2 linked regions of the Ovis aries genome follow. The protein of the gene in region 1 interacts with the protein of each later gene in a pairwise test. Links are inferred from orthologs where the notes say so. Each region holds a gene or a part of one and is shown on either strand. Other genes may lie near its edges.

Region 1 (4,472 bases):
CCTCACTGGACTCGGGCTGGGGCAGGGGCTTCTTAAGGAGGCCACCAGCCTGAGGCTGCGGGGGCTTTCTGGGGAGCCCACAGAACTCAGGCTGCGGGGGCTTCTTGGGAAGAGTACTGAACTTGGGCTCCACGGGGGACCTGGGGGTGTTGCTGAGCTCAGGCTGCTGTGGGGTCTTCTGAGAGGGGGCCTCAGGGACCTCAGGCTTCCTGGGAAGTGGCGTGGCCTCGGGCTGCAGGAACTTCTTGGAGAGTTCACTGAACTCAAGTTTGGGGGGCTTTTTGGGCAGGTCAGTGAACTCAGGCTGTGGGGGCTTCTTGGGGTGCTCGCCTAGCTCTGGCTGTGGGAACTTTTTGAGGAGTTTGTGGAACTCAGTCTTCGGGGGCTTTTTGGGGAGGTCGCCAGTCTCCGGCTGAGAGGCCTGGAACTTTGCTTGAAGGCTCCGGAAGTCCTGATGACTCCCCTAGGGGACACAGGCAGGCAAGGGACTCATACACATGGGGGCCATGGAGAGACGGATGTGGGGATAAGCGGACGAATCACAGACACACACCCTTGTCGTCCTCTTCCCGGCCTTCTGCCATTGACTCTCTTCTCTTGACCAGACTCCCATGTTTTTGTCTCCAGCCTCCCCGTGAGAGTGCCAGGCTCTCTTCCTGAACTACCACACACCGTCTGACCTCGTCACTTAAGCCCGGAATGTGCACCCAACCTCACCCCACTCCGGACCCGAGCTCCTGGGGTGCCATGTGGCCTTCTGCTCCCATTCCCGCCCCCAACCCAACTCCGTGGAGCATCCTCAAGCTCCTCCCCTCCTGCATGTCCCTAGGCCTCTCTTTTCTCATTTCAAAATGTATCTGGAGGGACTTCCTGGCAGTCAGGTGGCTAAGTCTCCTAGCTCCTGTTTGGGGAAGTAGATCCCACATGCCACAACAAAGAGTTGAACTGCCTCAACGGAAGACTCCGCGTGCCACCACTAAGACCCGGTGCAGCCAAAAGCAAGACATGTGTATTAGTATATCTGGAACTGAACAACTCTGGACCACCTGCACCCCTGTCCTGGAATCCACCCAGGGGAGGCGGCCTCCCCTGCAACAGGATTGCTGTAAGAGGCTCCTCCTCGTTCCTCCTGCCCACGATGCCCCACACCCCCTTTCCCGGTCAGCGTGCCCGCAGCAGCCAGAGGCGGCCTGAGTCTGTCTGTCCTCTGCTCCGAATCTGGGTGTGCTCTGTCGCTTGCCCACAGTAAGAGCTCTAGCGCTCACGAACCCCCCGGACGGCACGCCTGACCTCCCCTTGGTGCTGCCTCCCTGGCCTCCCTCTCCTGCTTGGCTCCTGCCACCTGGCCTGCCTGGGCCATACTTCCCATTGCATGGTCTCTCCTCTTCCGAGTTTCTACTCCTTTATTCCATATGATAGAGGCCTTTTTTCCCAGAACACCCTGATTTAAAAAAAAAGGATTCCCCTAGGACTCTCTGATCCCCCCAACCTGCCTAATTTTTCTCTTAGTGCCTAGCACTCTATATCATCCTATTTATTTTTACCTAATACTTATTATTTTTTTTTTACTATTTATTGGCATGCCACGTAGCACATGGTATGCTAGTTCCCCAACTAGGAATTGAACCAGTGCCCCTTGCATTGGAAGCAAGGAGTCGTAACTGCTACACTGCCCCCAATACTGTTTTTTAAATGTGCCTTGACTGTTTAGGGTTGTGTGTGTGTGTGTGTGTGTGTGTGTGTGTGTGTGTGTGTGTGTGTGTGAACTGCCTCCCCCCTGCCCCTGAACGTGACATGAGGGCAGTCTTCCCAATGCCTCACACTCAGTAAGATGCTCAGTAACTATTTGTTGAAATAAAGAATCTACTAGGGACTTCCCTGGTGCCTCAGTGGTTGAGACTTCATGCTTCCAACGCAGGAGGTGCGTCGATCCCTGGTTGGGGAACTAAGATCCCACATGATGCCGTGCGGCATGGCAAAATATGTATCTATCTATCTATATATATACACCGGACACCGAGATGAGCAGCATATACTCTGCCACATCCAGTCCAATGTGGCGCACCAGCCCTGGCGCATGAAGTCCATCTCGATCCTGTCTCAACAGGACCCACACCCTCAGTCACAGACACAGGAGACACACAAGTAGGCCAGGGCTGCTCTGACCGACAATTGACCCCAGAAGTGGCCCTGCCACTGGCCCCTGGGCCTGGCTTCACCTGGGGTCTAGGAGATTGGGGAGGGGAAGGGCAGGACCTCACTCATCTGCCCTGTCTGAGCTTCACTCTCCCCTGACCCAGAGAACAAGGAAGGGTGGCAGTTCCTGCCTGGGGCCTGAGAAACCTCTGTGAAAGCTGGGCTGGGATAGGCTCCTAGGTGACCCAGAGGGCTGGAGAAGGCAGATCAGCAGGTCAGGCCCTGGAGGACTGCTGGGGTGGGCGGGGTGGGCAGCAGCTACATGACCTACTTTGTCACCCACAGGAAGCCCCTGCCACTCACCCTGGCTGCCTGTTACCCGGTGGCTGTTCATGCTGACCTGGGGGGAGGGGAGTCACCCCAGCAGGCCCACCCGTTCCCCTTCTAGTCACAGCCTCAGCTCATCGCCGCCCCTCGGAGCTTGAGTTGTCCCAGAAGTGGATCCCGGCTGCTTCTTAACCCCTGGGCATTTGTGGCGGTCATTCTCATGTCCCCAACAGCTTTCCTGCCCCTCTGCCACCCTGCTTTTGGAATATGCCCCTCTGGTTTCCACCCGTGGCATCCCTCACCTCCAGCCAGTGTGGGGCTCTCCCAGGCCCTGGAGACTCACTCACCATGGCTGCAGGAGGGTGATGGACCACAAGGCGAGTGGGACCCAGGCCAGGACTGCTGCATTCAGGAAGTGACTGTGGCTTCTGCTCCACGGGGTGGGGTCTGCTGGCCAGGCGGGGAGGGGAGGGGAGGAAGGGGCAGAGGCGGGGACAGCCCCAGCCTGGTCTCAGATCCTGTCAGTGCTTCTTGAATTCCTGTCCTGCCCTGCAAGCTTTGGGCATCCTGTTAGCAGAATCCCTCCCAACAGTCACTCATTTCTAGATTCCGCTGCCATGTGCTGGCCTCCGAACCCCAGGGAGGACTTGTGCCAGGCCAGGAGGGCCTCCTGCCAACAGGGGCAGGCCAAGGACACCTCCAGCCAAGGCCTCCGTGGGAGGGGAGGGGTAGTTCTCAGGAGGGAAGGGGCATGGTAAGCTTCACGCTTACTCAGGAGTCGGAGTGAGCCGGGTTGGTGAGGCCCTCCTGCCGGCCCGTGTTGCCTCAACATGCCTTCCTCATTTCAACACTTCTCTGCAGTCCCGATTTCCAGCTCTGAGCAGGACTCAGGACTTCTTGTTGCGGGGACAGCTGTCACACAGGCCGATGGCCCAGGTGGGGTGGCAGATTTGCTGATGGGCGGGTGGGTGGGCAGTGTCCAGGTTCCCAGAGGACTAGGGAAGGAGGAAAATGGGGGTGGCTGGGAGGCTGGCAAAGAGGGGGTAAAGTGGGGCACAAGACCAGTGCTGTCCAGAGGGAAACCCTGATGGCTTGGCTTGGTCCCCAGGAGGTCAGTGACCTTGGGGCTCATAGAGAAAGGAAAAAACACCCAGTGGGAGAGAGCAGAGCCCTGATTCTCAGCTTGGCCACACCATCGGGGTCCCTTGAAAAGTTCACAGAGGAACAGAAGCTCCTGGAGATCTTTTTTGTTTTTAATTTAAAACTTCAGCTACACTGGGTCTTTGCTGCTTCGAGCAGGCTTTCTCAAGTTGCAGAGAGCAGGGATACTCTAGTTGCAGCGTGCAGGCCTCTCTCTTTGTGGTGACTTCTCTTGTTGCGGAGCACAGGCTCTAGGGAGCCGGGGCGGGGCTTCAGCAGTTGCAGGTCCCAGGCTCTAGGGCACAGGTGCAGGGGCTTAGCTGCTCCTCAACATGAGGGATCCTCCTGGACCAGGGATCAAACTCATGCCCCCTGCACTGGCAGGTAGGTTCTTTACCACTGAGCCATCAGGGAAGTCGGTTCCTGGCCTGGGGATTTCTTACATACCCTCAGAGTGATTCTAATGTGAAGCTGGGAAAGAACTGGTGTCCACTAGTTACCCTGGGACCCCGATAAAGTGTGGGCTGTGCCTCAGGTCTGTCAGAGTCTGAAGCATCCCAGGTGATGCCCTTACTGTGGTCCAAGGATCACACCTAGACTAGCAGGGATGTTTGAAGTTTCCAGAAGGCAACAGACAGTGGTTGGCAGTGACTCTGCCTGTGTGTCTGCTCTAAGAGCAGAGCTCGGGGATTCTGGGCCCTTGTGTGTCCCTGCACAGACCAACATGCACTCTGGGTCACATTCCCGGGTGTGGGTTCCCCTTTCGAGTAGGAAGCTGAGGATGAGGATGAAGAGGTCTGTGTCCCAGAGCTGCTCAGCCTGGGAACCTGCAGCTTCTGGCCAACCTGCACCCTCTGGGGTAGCTGCAC
Region 2 (4,164 bases), on another chromosome or scaffold:
TTCTAGTGTACATAGAATCTGATAATAGAAACTATTTTTTACAAAGAAGGAAACTGATAGAGGTGAAGTGAGATGTGCAGGGGCTCAGGTTAGCTCACTCCCCATCTCAAAATTTGTCTGTGGCTCCCAATGTCCACTCAAATGAGTTCAGAATCCTTACCCTTTCAAGTTCCCTCACAGTAGAACTTTACTTTTTCTTGACAACTATTTCCCTACACCAGCCAGAAACTGCCCTGAAGCAGGAGAAGTCTTTTCCATCTTTGTTTACTCTGGTCCTTCCACCTGCGCCCTTGCCCCTTCAAAGTGTGGTGTCTTCAGAGCCATCTCAAATGCCACATGCACCATTACACCGCACACACATTTTCCCTCCTTTTCTTATATTCATCTCCCTCCTTGTATCACCCCATGGCACTTTATACTTTTTTCATGACACTTGCCCTATACTTAAAACAACAACAACAACAACAACTTAAGATAACTGTGGATTCACAGAAGTTGTGATGAATAATCCAGAGTGGTCCTGTTTCCCCAGGTAAAATTGTGCAATATCACAGGATATCACAGCTAGGACACCTGACACCTACATACTCTGAATGAGAAGGAAGCCCACTTCTGTTATCTTGTCCTTCACTTTCCTCCCTTTTAAACTCTTACAGGGAAAGGGCTGGATGCTCCTCTCCTTTAGCTTTCTCTCTGGGTTACCGCTTCTTTTTCCTCTCATCCTTTTAGCCTTAGGGAAGGAAGGGATACTTTGCCTCCGTGTTTCCATTGCAGAGGGTCTGCTTTGAGTCTCCCTGAAGTTGGTGACTTGAGATTATTTATTGGGACTTATGATCATTCCCTCGAACAGTCCTGGTTTGCCTGACCCACGGTTCTGCCCTGGTTTTCCGGGCTTGGACTCGCGAACTGAGTCGGGAATGACTGCGGCCCGGCTTGGCGGGGACTGACCCTGTCCTCGGATTCCACCTCCTCGCGCCTCATCTCGGCCCCACGGTGGCTTCTCCACCTGCCGGCGAGGCCCGCGGTCCCGAGCTTAGAATGGGGAGCGCCCGGAGGCGAGGTGCCTGGAGTCGCGTCGCGTCTTTGTTCTGACAGGGAATGGGGGCCGCGGGGCGGGCACCTCCTCCCTGGGGCGCGGGCGTAGGGGCGCGGGCCCCGCGCACAGGTGTCGCCGCCGCCCAGGCGCCCCGCCCGCCGCGCGCCGCTTCCTGAGCGCGCCCCGCCCTGCGGCTCGGCCCCGCGGCGCCGGCGACTGAGGGCCAGGTGCCGCCGCAGCCGCCCGCCCGCCCGCCAGTCCGCCCGCCCGGCCCTCTCCCGCCGCCCGCCACATGCAGGCCGCCGCCGCCCTCCCCGAGGAGATCCGTTGGCTCCTGGAAGGTAACGCCCCGCTGGCCCGGGCGCCGCCGAGCCCGCCGGGAGTCGCACGTGCCGAGCCGGCAGCAGCCGAGACGCCAGCGGCTCCCAAGGCCGGCCTTCCCCGTCGGCTCCCTCCCGCCTTCTAGAACCTCGAGGCTGCTGCCGGAGTCCTGACTCTGCAGAGCCAGCTGTTCACCCCTCGCTCAGGGGTCCCGTTCACTCCTAGTAACACATTTTCTTTTCCCTCAAGGCGTCTCCACCTCCCACTTAGCCTCCCGGCTTCTCAGCAAGTTCTGGCCGGGTTCAAGGTCCCCGGGCCGCCGCGGCTGGCCTTCAGCCTGTCCCTTTCTCTTCAGGACGCCCTGCGTCTGTGGGTTACGCGCTGGCCCCTCTCCAGCCCTGACTGTGTCCCTTCACAGGGAACCCTGACCTTCGTGCTTAGAGCTCCCCACGGTCTCACGGGGCTGTTAGGGCTCAGGGGCTCCTGTCGGCCAAGGCCTGGACACCCAGACCTCAGGCCCCCTTCACCCGCCCACAGACTCCCTCTTGCCCCGGGTCGGATCCCAGTGTTACATCTCTTCCCTTTCTAGAAGTGCCCCATTGCGGTGTGTTCACCCTCAAACCGTAGAGCCCATCAGTCCTTGTAAGAGTTAAGGCCATACTCACTAACACTCAACACATCCCGCTGTAACACTCCAGAGACACTTTTTGCTAATGGGCAAGATCTGCTTGCCTCCCACTTTTCCTGGTGAAAAAGTATTAATAATTTGCTTTTCCTGTAACCGACCTTCCTGGAAGGATGGGGACCTGGAATCTGTGTTTGCATAAGGGTCCCAGGAGGAAACCGCTCAGAATTAAGCCTTTTGGTATAGAGGTGACATTTTTGACACATACTTAACAGATGGCCTGTTTTCGGCAGGTCATAGTTTTGGCAAGCAGTATGTTTTTTTCTCTTCAGTTTCTCTCAATTTAATTGGTTTTATATCTCCATTACCATGTTATCTTGGTATAAATGCCTCCTAATCAAATATTTGGCAAGTCTTTTCAGTCTGTTTGTAGCGCTGTTTCCATTCTGGGTTGCTTCCATAAAAGCTGTCAACTACGTGTTTCTTATGAAATGAAGTTTCCAAAATTTATTTTGCTTGCAACCTGAGTGAATCTAAATTTTCAGAATAGAGAAGTATTTGTGGGGTAAAAGAGCATCATCTGGATGTCTAGAAGGAACCCAGCCTTTCCGTCTGCTGTTGGCTCAGTAATTCCAAATATAAAGAGAGTCTGTACTGTGTCTGGTTTCCAGGAGAGAAGGAACCGTGGCAAAAAGTTTCATTCTGCTTGCAGTTAAAGATATAAACAGATTCTTTTTATTGATATCTGTCATTTGTTGAGAGGAAACCTGTTTTACAAACTAGTTAAACTATACTTAGATTTTGTTTACAGCCTTGATAGAAAATTCCTTTTTATTTTCAGAGGCTTACAATGACATCCACTCCTTCAGCATTTTTGATGTGCAGTTCTTTATTGTTCAAAACTGACACTTTGGTAAACAACTCATTTCTGCACCTGCCACCTTCCTTTAGTTTAGATTATTTTCTTGTTAGCTGACTGTTTTTAATTGAAGTCTTCAGATCTCCTCCTAAAGCAGAACCTTTGTTTGCTGACAAGTAGAGCAGAGTATGAATGGAGATTAATTGCATGTCACATACTTCTGTATCAAACTTGCTGTGTCTTAACAATCTGTGTTGGTGCTCGGGTCTTTGGAATATATAGAACAATCCAAGATTAAATTCTAAGAAGCTATGTTGGTTAATGTATTACTTTAAGGCTCCCCCTTTTTTTTTTAAAGTATGTAATTAGAGTCTGAATCTGAAGTAGAGAAAAAAAATGTGAAAGTGGAATTCAACCAATAATTCTATTGAAAAATGTTTGAAGAATATACTTTTGAAAGGTTTGTGTAATCATAGCAACATATTGGTTGTAGGTTTTGTTTTTTATGGAACACATTCTCTGTTGTAGACCAACAGAATTATTCACTGGACTACAAATAGTTTGTAAATATTAGAAGCCCATAATGGCTATCAATTTTTCATCTGTTGCTGTTTGTCTTCCCCCACCCACCCCCACACACACTTTTTAAGGTTAACTGCTGACAATTAGAAAATATGTAGGTCCTGATCTCTATATTGTCACTCAGTGGAGGGAGTCATAGGGTGAGAGTGCTGCTACTTCAATGCTGCCACAGGCTGTGGGGGTGGAGTTTCCACAATGAATTACTACTTTCATAAACCAAGCCATAAGCATTTGCACCGTGATTTAATGCTGGCCATCACAGCCATAACTTTAGCATTTATTTATTTATAACTACAAGAGCATAAATGACAGGGGCGTTTTTTGACATAATGTGTGTGCTTTGAAAAATAAGATATGCAAAGCATTATGAAAGGTTTATGCCAGATTTTGCATATTGAAGAAGGGAACAGAAACGCTGAAGGTCTAAAATTAATTTTAAGGATAAAATTTTAAACATTTGACCAAGAAACTCCACTCCTAGGAATCTATGTTAATGAAAGTAAAGAACATGAAGTATATATTTTTGTTTGTTTGTTTTAGTCGCTAAGTTGTGTTCAACTCTATGGACTGTATAGCTCATCAGACTCCAGAATACTGGAGTGGGTTGCCATTTCCTTCTCCCGGGGATCTTCCTGACTCAGGGATCAAACCTGCTTCTCCTGCATTGGCAGGTGGATTCTGAGTCACCTGGGAAGCCTGAAGTATATATATCAGGATGCATAGTAAGTGGCCATGAGTTGG

Evidence for each region.
Region 2: the proteins of PRAM1 (region 1) and SKAP1 interact in binary tests that used the Homo sapiens proteins (3 or more experiments, as listed by UniProt). The two-hybrid records come from large-scale screens. The link is inferred for Ovis aries from reciprocal best matches to the Homo sapiens genes PRAM1 and SKAP1.

Annotation. Positions count from the first base shown.
Region 1 is NC_056058.1:14,848,052-14,852,523, forward strand, and holds the start of PRAM1 (PML-RARA-regulated adapter molecule 1), read right to left. Parts: upstream 2,870-4,472; 5' UTR 2,814-2,869; coding exon 2,811-2,813; intron 464-2,810; coding exon 1-463. UniProt on the Homo sapiens protein: May be involved in myeloid differentiation. May be involved in integrin signaling in neutrophils. Binds to PtdIns(4)P.
Region 2 is NC_056064.1:37,789,441-37,793,604, forward strand, and holds the start of SKAP1 (src kinase-associated phosphoprotein 1), read left to right. Parts: upstream 1-1,233; 5' UTR 1,234-1,328; coding exon 1,329-1,377; intron 1,378-4,164. UniProt on the Homo sapiens protein: Positively regulates T-cell receptor signaling by enhancing the MAP kinase pathway. Required for optimal conjugation between T-cells and antigen-presenting cells by promoting the clustering of integrin ITGAL on the surface of T-cells.